3 linked regions of the Rattus norvegicus genome follow. The protein of the gene in region 1 binds, or shares a complex with, the protein of each later gene. Links are inferred from orthologs where the notes say so. Each region holds a gene or a part of one and is shown in the gene's direction. Other genes may lie near its edges.

Region 1 (4,285 bases):
ACATTACCGAGTTCAGCTCCTGAGCCATCTCCACACCCTGGCTGCAGTTGCACAAACCAACCAGAACCAGCTCCATCTGTGGTGAGTGAGTAGCCTGCAGGCTGCCTCCCCTGAGGTTTAGCCCGCCCATGCTTGGAAGTGGGGATCTTAATCTTCCCCACCCCCACTTTTTTCTTATTTGCCATAAAATTTAAATTCTGCTTCTAAGATACTATAATTACAGTGAAAGATTGGAATCCAAGTTTTTAAAAGAAATTGGATTTGCATATGTGTCAAGTCCTGGTTAAAGCATCATTTTATAGGAGGCAGAGGCAGGCAGATCTCTGTGATTTCAAGGCAAGCCTGGTCTACAGGGTGAGTTCCAGGACAGCCAGGGCTACACAGAGAAACCCTGTTTTGAAAACCAAAAAAAAAGTATCATTTCCATTTTGATTTAAGTGAAGACGTATTTCAGATGGAAATCTGTAACTTAATGGAGGAGGGGACACAGTGTCCTGTAGCATAAGCTGACCTGGAATTCATTTTTGTAGCCGACACAAGATAAAAATTCCTGATCCCCTGCCTCTGCCTCCTAAATGCTGGTTCTCTTAGAGTTCTGTTGCTGTGAACAGACCCCGTGACCATGGCAACTCTTACCAGGGGACAGCATTGGTTGGTGCTGGCTCACAGGTGCAGAGGTTTAGGCCATTATCATCATGAAGGGAAGCATGGGGGCATGCAGGAGGACATGGTGCTGAAGAAGGACCTGATTGTTGAGTTTCTGAGGCCTCTTATTCACTCATCCCCTCCAATGAAGCCATGTGTATTCCAAGGCCCAACTTCCTAATAGTGCCACTCCCTGTGGACCCACGGGGGCCACCGTACTGACTCTGCAAGTGTGTGCTGCCTACCTAGTAGTACGGTGTTACTGAAATGCTGTCTGTCTAGGAGAAGGGTCTCTTCTAGCCTAGGGCTCTCTTTGTCAAATGTGTACAGAGGTCAGCTGCTTCAGATTGTACAATTTAGCATCAAAAAGAAGGGCAATGTGTAACCTTTGTGTTATTACATGTTCGTACCTCTGCACTGGGGTCTGCCAACGTGCGTGTCAACTGCGTTCCTGCTTTCAGCGTAGAAAGTACTGCGCTGAGGCTCATCACGGCGCTGGGGAGCTCCGAGGTCCAGCCGCAGTTTACACGCTTCCTCAACGATCCCAAAACAGTGCTGTCCGCAGAATCTGAAGAGCTGAACCGAGCCTTGATCCTGACCTTGGCCAGAGCAACCCACGTCACAGGTAGAGATCCTGCAAGGGACGCTAACATACATCGTGCCGCTCCTCTCAGACCACTCCCTGTGGGAGCACATGCCAAGGAGGTACCTTTCAGGGAAAGCGAGCCAGTTGCTCTAGGCTCTGCTCCGGATCAGTCAAAAATGGAATCCCGTGGCACTGTCATTCTGACTGAGGAAATTCCCAAAGATTTTCTTTTTATGGATTTTCATTTGCACATGAACAAGTATGTTAGTTATTAGAATAGAGAAGTTTTTAAAAGTGCTTATTTATTAAAAGTAATGCAGCATATAACATCAGTATAAGTAACATTTATGAAAACGGGGTTTTCTACAACACAACTCTGGTGGGAAGTGGTGCTTTTGTTTTAGTCTGACGTTGTCCTTTAATGTGTGGAGTAAGCGAGCACGGGTGGTTTCTCCCGTCTGCCTCTGGAGCATTTATATGCTTCAGTACGAGGATGCTACGGTGTTAGAGCACACGAGGAAGCATGGCTTCTCACAGACACAGCCAAGGGAAGAAAGGCTTGGCCACCTTAGGCTTTTCAGATAGCTGCGTGTCCTTCAATATCAGCTGTGAAACCCAGTCCTGTCCGTGGACTTTTCTGCCCTGTGATCCCTGGCCTATTTTTTATTTATTTATTTTTTTTAAGATAGATTTATTTATTTATTTATTTATTTATTTATTTATTTTTATACGAGTACACTCTAGCTATCCACAGACACACCAGAAGAAGGCATCAGATCTCATTACAGATGGTTGTGAGCCACCATGTGGTTGCTGGGATTTGAACTCAGGACCTCTGGAAGAGCAGTCAGTGCTCTTAACCACTGAGCCATCTCTCCAGCCCATCTGGCCTATTTTTTGTATTGAATACATTTTTAATGTATGGGTCTTTATGAATTCACCATTTGGAAAACATTCCCCGAGTTAAGCAGTTGTAGCAAATGTGAACACATCTCACTGTAGTTCCATAGAACATCATTACATCAGGGAAATCAGTCACACTCATGGACGGAAGTTTTCCAGTTCCTAATTGCCACCTAAAACATCAGACTGCGTCTGTAGAAGATGCCGTTCTATGTTCTTCTTAAAACACAGGGTGAGTGTTAGTTTTCTAGAGCGTCTGCCAGATGTTCATGTCTGCATAATTACTTACTTTTCTGTCAGATGCTCATCTACCTAAAACTGAAATCCCATGAGAAAAGGCAGCTGTTGCACCTGAGTACTGCCATTCGAGCACTTTCCCTCAGACTCCTGCAGGTGGTGTGTAGTAGTGTATAGTGGGTAGTCTGGGGCCTTCTTAGAAGTGTGCAGAGAACCAGGCATTTTGCTGTACCATTACGGATAGCTGCAGTTTGTTATTTGAATAGCTGTGAACACACCAAATCCTTGAAAGGACAGTAGGACTAGGTAGGTATAGCAGCACAAGCCTGTAATCCTAGCACTTGGAGAGTTTGAGGCAGGAGGATTTCAAAGTTGAGGTAAACCTAGACTTAAAAAAAGACCCTATCTCAAAAATGGAAGGAAGGAAGAAGGAAGGAAGGAAAGAAGGAAGGAAGGAAGGCAGGCAGGCAGGCAGGCGGACGGACGGACACCGGCAGCTGCTAGAGATCAGCAGTTCAGCAGTTCACAGTACACTGTGAGAGTTGTTTGTTTAAAAAAGGAGAGAAAAGATACCAGATTTATCAATTTCAGCTACATTTTGTAAGCGGTTATTTCCTGTGAGTAAATGTCTCTGATTTAGAGATTTACACTTGGGACGTACAGGGCATGTAGTCCCACATCTGCTTTTTTAGTTCCACTCCTTGACCCTTTTAAAAATAAAAAAAGATTAAGTCCTTTGTTGTCTCTTCACTAATTGTGCTCATATGTTGTAATAAAAAGTCCAAGTCACTTCTAGTTATTCTCAAAGTAAGAGAGTTTAGGTCCTGAGTAAAATATAGGTAAACAGTGAGTGTCCGCACTACAACACCCCAGTGTACATGGATGCTTTTGCTTCCTTTGACAGTATGTATTTGTGGTCATAGAGGGCTGACTCACATCTGTTTGTTTAGATTTTTTTACAGGATCTGATTCAATACAGGGAACTTGGTGTAAAGATATCCTTCAGACCATCATGACTTTTACTCCTCATAACTGGGCTTCGCACACCCTTAGCTGTTTTCCAGCCCCTCTGCAGGTAATTTGGTTCTGAAGTGCATATTAAATAGGCGGTGAATCTTTTCTTCCAGTCATGGTGGCTTTCTAGGGAGTTCTGACTTGGTAATAGCTAAAGAAAATTGGCTATTTCCTTTTTGAAAATTCTTCTTTTTACTTCCCAAATCTCTTGAGTTGCTTCTCATCCTACTGAGGATTAAATGTTTCTGAAAATGTAATTATTATGGTTTCATTTTTCTTTTCTTTTTTTAAAATTTTTTATTAGATGTATTTCTTTACTTACATTTCAAAGGTTATTCCCCTTCCCGGTTTCCTGTCCATAAGCCCCCATCCCTCCCCTCCCCCTCCCCCATACGGGTATCCCCCCATACATCCCCCTTATCCCCCCCCCACATTCCCCTGCACTGGGGTCCAACCTTGGCGGGACCAAGGGCTTCCCCTTCCACTGGTGCCCCAGCAAGGCTGTTCTCTGCAGTTTTAGACTCTCACAAGAGGTTACATTTCCTGAAGAATTCTTTGCTGACAGCAAGATGGAGAGAAACAGGCTTCAGTGAAACTTCACAGAGCACAAAGATACCAACTTGACAAAACTATAACAAAGAGAAGGCGAACCTCAGAGAAGGTTTACGGCATGGTGGATATTGATTTTCCATGACGTCAGGGAGGCTACAATGTCGGTCCTCACATATTGGATAGAGCTGGAAGGCTCGCCAAGCCACAGCTCCTGGGTCCCAGCCTTAGAGCTTCTGCTTGAGCAGATCTGGGGAAGGGCCTTCAGACGGCCTGAGCAGAACCACTGGTCTGTCAGAACTGATCCCTTGTGGAGACACTGCATGTGTAACCTGAGAAGGAGACACGTTT
Region 2 (5,015 bases), on another chromosome or scaffold:
CTCAGTGCACCACCTTCCAGCGAGGTTGCTAGAACCCTCGATGTTTCTCAACTTTACCACTACTGGCTTTCTCAGCACAGCGATTCTTTGTTGGAGGAGGGACAGGGTGCTGACTTGGGCAGCATAAAATGTTAGCAGCATCCCTGGCTTCTAGGCACTTGAGGCTAGCAGTAGCCCCCTCCGTGCCACCCCAAACACACACGTTTCCGGAGACAAAATCATTCCCAGCTTGGGTACCCATGCGACAACGACGGAGAGATAGTTCTAAACTCCGAACTGCACCATGCACTTTGCTCCCTTGCATCAAATTTTTTTGATGGTCTCAGAATAAAATTCAAACTCTCCACTGGGATTTCCAAGACTCTATATGAATTGGCATATTCTCCACCCCCCCCCATTATACCACAATCTCATACACTGCTTTTTCTCTTCCATAAACATCTCCAATTTTTTTTTTAAAATGTACTGTGTAAAATGTACTTCCCTGTAGATCCTGATATGGCTTGCTGCTAACCCACACAATCTCAGACCAAGTGTCATCAGCAAGGCTTTCCCTGACCATGTTCTCGAAAGAGCGCCCTACTCGCTACCACAAGATAGATACCTTATCTTTCACAGGAATACAACAGAACATCGTCTTACTTTCTCTTCACTTGAGAAGATCTTAGTCTTTTCCACTGCTATAGCCGACAAGTTCTGACTGGTACCAAGCATGCTGTAGGTACTCAGTAACCATCCTCTGCCAATCTCACGCCCCAGACCAAGTGTCATGGCTGCTTCTTCACGTTCCCTCCCAAGATTAGTATTTTTTTTTCTCAATTGCCCTGCCCTTATTTTTCTAATAGCTCCTGACCTATTTTTTAAAGTGTAGATGGAATACTGTGTATAACAACTTAACACGAGAAAACTTATTATGAAATATAAATATTATTAAAGGGTAATTAACAATTTGTGAAAGATGATGCCTTGCTCTGTAGGTTTCAAGCAGGTATATGATCAGGCCAGTAGTCAAGAAACATGACAAATCTGGCCCCTCTTCGCAGATTTCAAGTCGTCAACACATTCTAGAGGGACCTAAGACTATAAAACTTACCTGGTGTAGAGACTCAAAGAATCTCTTTGTCCATCGTCTGGGTTTACACAGTACTACAAATCGGAAACCTTTCTGTGCTGGCTTCAGGTTAATAGTACGCTGGGTCAACAGCAGGATGGACTAAGGTGCTGCAATGTCAATACATGTTAACAGTGCCCAGAAACCACAGCCTGCTTCTTACACTGTTTTATGGGCTGTTTCCATGAAACCAAAGATACTTGGCTCTCCTGGAAGCTGGCTGGCAATTCCTCAGTCCTGGCTAAGGACCATGGCACTTCATCGAGTCATTCTGGCACTCTGCCGAGTGGCTTGCTTGTCTCGCCTGGCTGGGCTCTCTACGCGGTGCACAGTAGTCTCCACCCGCAGGGATGACGACGCCCTGACGTGGCGGGAGGACGTTTCCATGCACTGCGAGGAGGTTTCCACGTGCTGGGAGGACACCTCGAGGAATTGAGGGAGTCGCTTCGCGGAGGGGGTGAGGGAGGGTCCCTCTCGGTGGCGCTGGGAGGTCTCCACTTGCCGGGAAGACGTTAGAACCTGCCGGGAGGACGTCTCCACGCGGTGGGATGACGTTTCCTCGCGGTGGGACGACGTCTCCATGCGGACAGTCGATGTCTCCTTGTGGCGGGTGCTTTCCACTCGCGGGACGGAGGACTTGCTCCTAAGGGGCGAGGCCATCCTGCCCGTACACTTTGGTCAGGAGGAACAAAGAAGCCCAAGGATCATGCTCTGCGTCACGCCACCCGGGGGAAGGTGACGTCAGAGAGGTGTATTACATCAGAGTAGGCAGCAGGACTCAGACCTGAAATCAGAGAAGCCCTCCGGCACGCCCCGCTCGATATCTGCGCGCGCAGTCGGCCCGGTCCGCACAGATGGGCGGGGCCACTCTTCCCCAAAGTGAAGTTGTCCCCGCCCTCGTGTCCCACTCTGCCCCGCGACCGGAAGTAGGACCCGTGACTTCCGGATTCTCCTTCACCAATCCGGGCTGCGGTTGGGTCGGGTTGGTAGTGTTTGCGCCTTTCTGCTTGCTATGGCCGCGGCCGTCGCTATGGAGACAGGTGCGTTGTGTTTTGCACGGGAATGGTCCTTCGCCCCAAAATCCTCTCCCGTTTCCCTTCCCCTGCGCCGTCTTCCGGGCTCAACTCCTCATCCTTAGAGTTGGGACCGGCGGAGGAGAAGGCGGTGTTGCCCCCCAGAATATGGCCTGTAGGACCAACTTTGCTCCTGTGTTGCTCTAACCCCTACTCCAACCCTGACTCGCGGGGCGGGCCGGGGCGCATAGAAAGGACTGAGACCTTCCACTGTCTGCTCTTTGGAACTTCTCCAAACTTGCCTGAAATGTCGGTAACCTGTGTATTCTAATGCATATCACCGTCTTCTCTCCATTGTTTAATCATTCCTGCTTCGTTTTTGTGTAGCACTTTGTTTTTGCTTAACGTAATTAGTTGTGGTTATAACAACATAGGGAACCGTACAGCTATTGCAGACTATCCGATAATCTCCGCTCACGTCCTTCCACAGTGGCGTACAGGTTCTACATATTTTTTCCTCAACGAACTTTAAAGGATTTTTTTATTACTATTTTTGTTTTGGAAACAGGGCTCACTAAGTAGTGAATTAAACTAAATTTCTAAGGAAGTTTCTTCCACACTTTGATATTTGAGTTCATTCATGAGTGTGCATGTGTGTGTGTGTTTATGGGGGTGAGCGGCGGTGCATGCCAAGGTTAGAGGACAACTTGCAGAAATCGGTTGTCTTCCTACAACCCTGTAGGTTCCAGGAATCGAACTCAGGTCATCAGACTTTGCAGCAAGCACCTTTACTTGCTGAGCTGTTTGACCTGCGTTTTATTTTTGTTTCTACAAATCAATGTTTGTATTGTGACTTTTATTTTGGGTGATCGTTCCTTCCTTCTTTCTCTTTTTTTTTTTACTGTCTTTTCTCCTAGATGATGCTGGAAATCGACTTCGGTTTCAGTTGGAGTTGGAATTTGTGCAATGTTTAGCCAACCCAAATTACCTTAATTGTAAGTTAAGTACATCATTAACTTAAGTAGCTCACTAGATCTTAATGGTTTCTGAGAAGAGATGCAATTTGTAATAGTATTTATTTACTTCGATGTGTTTGGGGTTTTACTTGTGCTGGTCTGTAAGTATCAACTGAGCAAACAAGGGCTTGTGTTTTTTAATCCCTTGTGTTTTGTCGGTAGGGATGTTAAGAAGAGCTACTTTACTTAAGAGATTACAGATCAGCAGCCCAGCAGTGGTTGACATACAGAGTGTTTCTTTGTGTCTTTCAGTTCTCGCCCAAAGAGGTTACTTCAAAGACAAAGCTTTTGTTAATTATCTTAAGTACTTGCTTTACTGGAAAGAACCAGAATATGCCAAATATCTAAAGTAAGTTTAATTTTTAAAATCCCAAAGCTGTGTGTACTTTATTATAAATACTAAGTGCTATTATTTAGCAGTTTTCTCGGTGTCAGAATGGAAAACAGCATTTGGGATCTTTCTGCTTTTAGTTGATGTAAGACGCTGTTATCTCTAACTTGGGTTGATTATGACAGGAATTTCATTTATTTCTGCTACCATTCTTACCTCACTCCCTTCAAACAAAACCAAAGAACTGTCTACGTGGGAGCCAGCTTACTCTCTTGGCAGTGTAAGTCAGAGCATACTGTTCGTGCAGGCTAAGATCCAGTGAACTGTTGTAGACTACAGTTCTAATGTAATTTGGTCGTGTCTAACCATGTCACTTAGCACTGCCCCTGTCTTTCTGGGGTTTTGAGGCCTAACAACCCATAACCTGTGACGGTAGGAAGAACTGTTTCCTGAGAGTCTTAGAGGTCCTGCCTTTCTTTGTGGTGTCCTTTGTTTCAATCACTGTGCGTATTAACTCACTGTAAAAGAACAGACACAACAATATCACATCAAACTCTGCTTTGACTTAAAAAGAGAAAAGAAAGCCAAGCTGGCTTTAATCCCAACATTTGGGAGGCAGAGGCGGGCGCATGTGTGAGTTCAAGGCCAGAGCTGCTTCCAGGACAGCCACTCTACCCAGGTAAACCCTGTCTAGACACTGCCCCAAAGGAGGGGACAACAACAAAAACCCCAGAAGTAGCTTGGTGTCCCTTTAATCCCAGCTCTCAAGAGGCAGAGTCAGGCAGATCTCCGTGAATTTGAGGCCAGCCTGATTATGTTGCAAGCTTCAGGCCATTCAGGGCCACACAGAGAGACCCTATTTTAAAAATTAGAGGAAAACATTTCAAACCTTTTTTTTTTTTTTAATCGTAGTCATTTTTCTGACTTGATTCCTGGGCTGCCTGTAGATTTGCTCTTCATGATGCAATTCTAGATTCCTCTAGGAATCCAAATGATAGGCTTGAAATTACTATTAGAAAAGTATGGGGTTGGGGATTTAGCTCAGTGGTAGAGCGCTTGCCTAGGAAGCACAAGGCCCTGGGTTCAGTCCCCAGCTCCGAGAAAAAAAAAAAAAAGAAAAAAAAAAAAAGAAAGAAAAGTATAACATGTTACATGTTAGCAAACTTTTAGCCACCTTCAAGCTCAGTCTCTCCAGCCCAGCTGTTGAAAGATGATTGTCTCCGCTCTGTTGGAGGCTCCCTATGATCATAGGTCCCTCTACTATTAGAGGCAGCTTACTCCATTGATAGCCAGAGGTAAGGGAGCTCTTCTTATATACTCTGATCAAATACACCTCCTTGTAGCTCTAAGCCGTTTGTAGGCTTGTTCCTTATTCTGTTCATCTGTGTCCTCTTGGAGGTAACAGCTATAGATGTTTAAATTCGAGAGAAGTTGTGAAATAACTCCACTATATCTTGCATAATGTTCTGAATAACATGGTAGGAGTGATTTTACCAAAGGTACCATAGTAGTAGAAATGGTGGGCTTGAGATCATTTTTAGGGG
Region 3 (4,897 bases), on another chromosome or scaffold:
GACCCCTGGAAGAGCAGTCAGTGCTCTTAACTGCCGAGCCATCTCTCCAGCCAGACCCAGGCAACTCTTATGTGACTACATTGTCACTCTCTTCAGACACACCAGAAGAAGGTATGGGATCCTATTACAGATGGTTGTAAGCCACCATGTGGTTCTGGGAATTGAACTCAGGACCTCTGGAAGAGCGGTCAGTCCTCTTTTTTTTTTTTTCTTTTCTTTTTTTTTTTTTTTCAGAGCTGGGGACCGAACCCAGGGCCTTGTGCTTGCTAGGCAAGTGCTCTACCACTGAGCTAAAACCCCAACCCCTGCGGTCAGTCCTCTTAACCACTAAGCCATCTCTCCAGCCCACCAAGGCAACTCTTATAAGGACAACAGTTAACTGGGGCTGGCTTACAGGTTCAGAGGTTCATTATTATCCAAGTGTGAGCATGGCAGCATCCAGGCAGACAGAGCTGAGAGGTCTATATCTCCATCTGAAGGCTGCTATCAGAATACTCTCTTCCATAGGGCTAGGTTGAGGGTATTTAAGTCCATCTCCACACCTACTCCACTCCAACAAGGCCATGCCACCCCCCCCACCCCCCACCCCCCACCCCCCAGCTAAATCCCCAAACCCTAAGGCCATACTTCTTTTTTTTTTTTTTTTTTTCTTTCTTTTTTTCGGAGCTGGGGACCGAACCCAGGGCCTTGCGCTTGCTAGGCAAGCGCTCTACCACTGAGCTAAATCCCCCTGAACGCGCCCGATCTCGTCTGATCTCGGAAGCTAAGCAGGGTCGGGCCTGGTTAGTACTTGGATGGAAGGCCATACTTCTTAATGCCACTCCCTGGGCTGAGCAAACATCACACTGGGATAAGCCCACCAAGCTTGGTTTATGTTGTGCTGGGAATCAACACCAGAGTTTCTGCATGCAAAGCAAGCAGCCATAGGAATTACCCCAGTCCCTTCCTTCTTCCGTCCCTTCTTCCCTCCCTCCCTTTTCTTTCTTTCTCTTAAACAACATAACTGCTGCTTGTTCTTCAGGAAATTTCACCTTCCCACTTTCTCTAGGAATTAAACCCAGGACTTCAGGCACATGAAGCATGTGTGCTACTAGTGAGTTGCACGTCTTGTCATATCACAAATCTTACTTTTAGCCCCGAGGCAGGGTTTCTCTGTGCAGTCCTGGCTGTCCAAAAACTCTGTAGACCAGGTTGGCCTCATACTCACAGACAGCCACCTGCCTCTGCCTTCGGAGCGCTGGGAATAAAGGCACGCACCACAGCCAGGCAAACCTGACTGCCTTTGGCATTACGGATACTAAAATTCATTGGAAATCTTTCAGTAGAGAGATTATTTCGTAACGACTGGTTTTCACTATGGAGCTTGAAGTGGCTATGAATTTGCGATCCTCCTTCCTTTTTGGGATTATAGGAATGTGCTACTTCTCCAGGCGTTCAAAGAGCTAACTTTTTCTGTTGTACTTTGTGTTTTGTTTGTTTGTTGGTTTTTTTTTTTTTAAATTTTTTTTCTTTTTTTTTTCCGGAGCTGGGGACCGAACCCAGGGCCTTGCGCTTGCTAGGCAAGTGCTCTACCACTGAGCTAAATTCCCAACCCCTGTTTGTTTTTGATACAGAGTTTCTCTTTGTAGCAGTGGCTGTCCTGGAGCTCACTCTGTAGATCAGGCTGGCCTCGAACTCAGAGATCCACTGCCTACTGAGATAAAAGGCTTGCGCCACCAACGCTGCGCCAAAGAGCTAACGCTTCTAATTTACAAACGTGTATCTGACAAGATGCAAAGTTTCTAAGAGATGTCAACTCTTTCCACGGAAAGGTGTGAAGACTGAGCCAATCGGAGACAGTCCTGTTGGAAATCCCGCGGGAAGGGCGAATCAGCCAATTTCCGCGAGATTTTGGTGCTGTTCCTTCTTCCTCTGCCTGCAGGAACACGATTAATCTCGCGATCTTTGGGAAGTTCCGTTGGGGAAGATGGCGGCGGCCGCGAGCACCCTTCTCTTCTTGCCGCCGGGGACTTCAGACTGAACCTTCCCCGGAAGAGTGGGGGCCGCTGGTGCGCTGCTTCCCCGGAGTCCAGGCTAACTTGGTTCCCCTCTTAGTGGTGGGGAAAGGCTCCCTGGCTTGTGGCGGACCCAAGACCTCACCGCTGTCAGGATGAAGGCTCAGGGGGAAACCGAGGGTGAGTGACTAGGGGGTGGGGGGGAAGAAGGGGCGGGACACAACTGTGGGGAGCCAATCTGTGAGCGGAGGTGGGGACCCACGCCCCCCCCGTCCCCCCAGGGCCACTGTGCACGGAACTGGATCCAGGTGGATCCTGACCGAGCTTTACGGATGTTGGAGCTCCTACACTGAGGCTCCGCTCCGCCTCGCCTCCCCTTGTGAAAGATTTTCTGCAAGACTAGGGACAAGTAGATGAGCTTCAGGTTACTTTCAGCTTAGCCTGGTGGGTTACCAGGAGAGTGAAACTGAAACTTGATGCTTTGTTCCAGGAGAGATCGCTGAAGATGACACTAGAACAATGTGTCAAAGTGATGGAGGATGTTTTGGTGTGAGTGACATGGTGCGGTCTTTATTATAATAAAAGCTAGTAGTTTCTTGGAATGTCATAGTGTTCAAATACTGTGCTGTGTTTTTAAAAACTACTCTTTCAATTGTTCCTGAATAATGGCTTTAAAGCTCGGGGGAAATGTATTCAGAACTATGAACTAGCAGGAACAAAACCCAAACCACTTTCCCAGTTGAAGGAAGAAAAGGGAAGGGATTGAGTCTTTTTTGTTTTCTTTCAAGACAAGGTCTTCCTGCATCAGCCTCCCAAGTGCCAGCTTAACATACCATCATAGCCAGCTAAGAGTTTAAATCTTGGTTTAACTATCCCCCTCCTAACCTTAACTCAGATAGACTGGCTTATCCAAAATGAAGTCTCGACATTTTTAGGAAAGTGGACGATACTCAAAATAAGCTGTATTTAGCTAATACCACATTTTCTCTTATGCGGAATCTCAATTTAAGTATGTGTTGGCGTGGTGTACTGGTTGTCAAAATATGGGACCATGTGAGAAAGAAGGAGATCTTCAGGATAGAAAGGTAAATGGAGTTTGAACTAAATGGAAGCCTTGACTGTTTTGAGGTTGGGGCAGGGGTGGCTGTCAGAGGAAGAAGACTCAGACCCAGTGTAACATCTTACATCTATAAGAATGCCAAAATGATACCCATTGCTTTGTTTGTTAATTTAAAAATAATTTAGAGGCTGCAGATATTAGAGCAAGGTCGTTTGCCCACAGGTTCAATCCCCAGCACCAAAAGAAAAGGAAAAAAGGAGAAAGCAACAAAAATGAATGATGTCATTGTTTTCATACTAAAAACTAATTATAGAAATGCCTAGCTCAAATTGTGCTCAAAATATATCCTTCAAGGTATTGCATCCCTATGTATGCAATTACAAGTTTTTTGTTTGCTTCAGTGGATAGTTTGAACAGAAGCTGGGCATTGCATACCTGTAGTCTCACCACTGAGAAGGTAGAGGCAGGAGGGGCAGGACTTCCCGACTGCCCTTTCCTTCTCAGCAAGTTCAGGCTCATTTAGGCTAAGTAAGACCTTGTCCAGAAAAAAAAAAAAAAAAAAAGGCTGCCAGTCAGTTGGTAAAATGCTTCCTGTGCATACATGAAAACAGGCCTGAATTTGGTCCCCAAGTGGTGATGATTCATGCCTTTAATCCTAGTACTTAGTAGGCAGAGGCAGGGGGATCCCTCAGTTTGAAGCCAGGCAGGTCTACAAAGAGACAGGACAGTCAGAGAAGCTCTGTCTTAACCCCAACCCCCCAAAATAAATAAAAAAGAAGGCGTCTGGGGGCTGGAGAGATGGCTCAGTGGTTAAGAACACTGTCTGTTCTTCCAGAGGTCCTGAGTTCAAATCCCAGCAACCACATGGTGGCTCACAACCATTTATAATGATATCTAGTGCCCTCTTCTGGCCTGCAGGCATACATGTAGGTAGAATGCTGTATACATAATAAAAAGTCTTAAAAAAAAAAGGCGTCTGTTTATAGTGGCATACAGCCATAGGAGGCTAAAGAAAAGGAGACAAGAGATGACTGAGGAGAGTCTGGGCTGTAATGCAAGCCCGGGTAGAGGGACAAGCATGTGGAGGCCACCCCTTATATTTCTGTATTTGGAGGTGGTCTACTGTAGCTACTGTGGGCTCTGGGGCGTGAACCCAGGCTCTCATGTTTGGCATGGGATGCCTCTACTCAGGGAGCCACCTTGTCAGCCTCCAAGGTCATGCTCAGCTAGATGGACTTGGGGGTCAGCGGGGTGGCGAGAGAATGTCTGAAATGAAGGAAAAGCAGGGAGGGGCTGGAGACAGAGCTGGGGAGTTTTTGGCATGGGTTTAGATTTGGCTCCCAGGAAGCACATGCCCACAGGGCAGCTCACAACCATTTGTAGCTTTAGTTTCAGGAGTCTTGGTGCCTTCTAGCCTCCCTGCACAGACGTGTTATACATGCATGAGTCAAAAAACAAACAAAAAACCAAACACACACAACATAAATCTTTTTTTCTTTAAAGAATATGGGTTTCATGTGTGTAGTGGTTTTGTCTTCCTGTATTTCTGTGTACCAAGTATATACCTGGTGCCCTCAGAGTCCAGAAGAGGACAGCAGATTCCCTGGGACTGGATTTACATGTGGCCGTGAGCTGCCATGTGGGTGATGGGACTTGAACCCAGATCCTCTGAAAGAGTAGCTAGTGCTCTTAAAGGATGCGTTAGGCATTGTCAAACAGTACTTTGATGCCATACTTAAGAGGCAGAGGCAGGTGGATCTATTTGTTCAAAGCCACCCTTTTTAGACCCCGTCTAACACCAAACAAAACAACAAAATGCATCTAGGCCTGGAAGGTTCCACGT

The links. Proteins that work in one complex are often made in the same cells at the same time.
Region 2: Med23 (region 1) and Med31 share a complex: the UniProt entries of both Homo sapiens proteins name them as parts of the mediator complex. The link is inferred for Rattus norvegicus from reciprocal best matches to the Homo sapiens genes MED23 and MED31.
Region 3: Med23 (region 1) and Med1 share a complex: the UniProt entries of both Homo sapiens proteins name them as parts of the mediator complex. The link is inferred for Rattus norvegicus from reciprocal best matches to the Homo sapiens genes MED23 and MED1.

Annotation. Positions count from the first base shown.
Region 1 is NC_086019.1:22,321,768-22,326,052, reverse strand, and holds part of Med23 (mediator of RNA polymerase II transcription subunit 23), read left to right. Parts: coding exon 1-81; intron 82-1,106; coding exon 1,107-1,270; intron 1,271-3,321; coding exon 3,322-3,446; intron 3,447-4,285. UniProt on the Homo sapiens protein: Required for transcriptional activation subsequent to the assembly of the pre-initiation complex. Component of the Mediator complex, a coactivator involved in the regulated transcription of nearly all RNA polymerase II-dependent genes.
Region 2 is NC_086028.1:57,335,942-57,340,956, reverse strand, and holds the start of Med31 (mediator of RNA polymerase II transcription subunit 31), read left to right. Parts: upstream 1-2,067; 5' UTR 2,068-2,123; coding exon 2,124-2,151; intron 2,152-3,041; coding exon 3,042-3,119; intron 3,120-3,392; coding exon 3,393-3,489; intron 3,490-5,015. Other genes in the region: C10h17orf100 (uncharacterized protein C17orf100 homolog), read right to left, coding at 1,370-1,771. UniProt on the Homo sapiens protein: Component of the Mediator complex, a coactivator involved in the regulated transcription of nearly all RNA polymerase II-dependent genes.
Region 3 is NC_086028.1:83,682,598-83,687,494, reverse strand, and holds the start of Med1 (mediator of RNA polymerase II transcription subunit 1), read left to right. Parts: upstream 1-1,949; 5' UTR 1,950-2,149; coding exon 2,150-2,174; intron 2,175-3,004; exon of another isoform or gene 3,005-3,079; intron 3,080-4,897. UniProt on the Homo sapiens protein: Component of the Mediator complex, a coactivator involved in the regulated transcription of nearly all RNA polymerase II-dependent genes.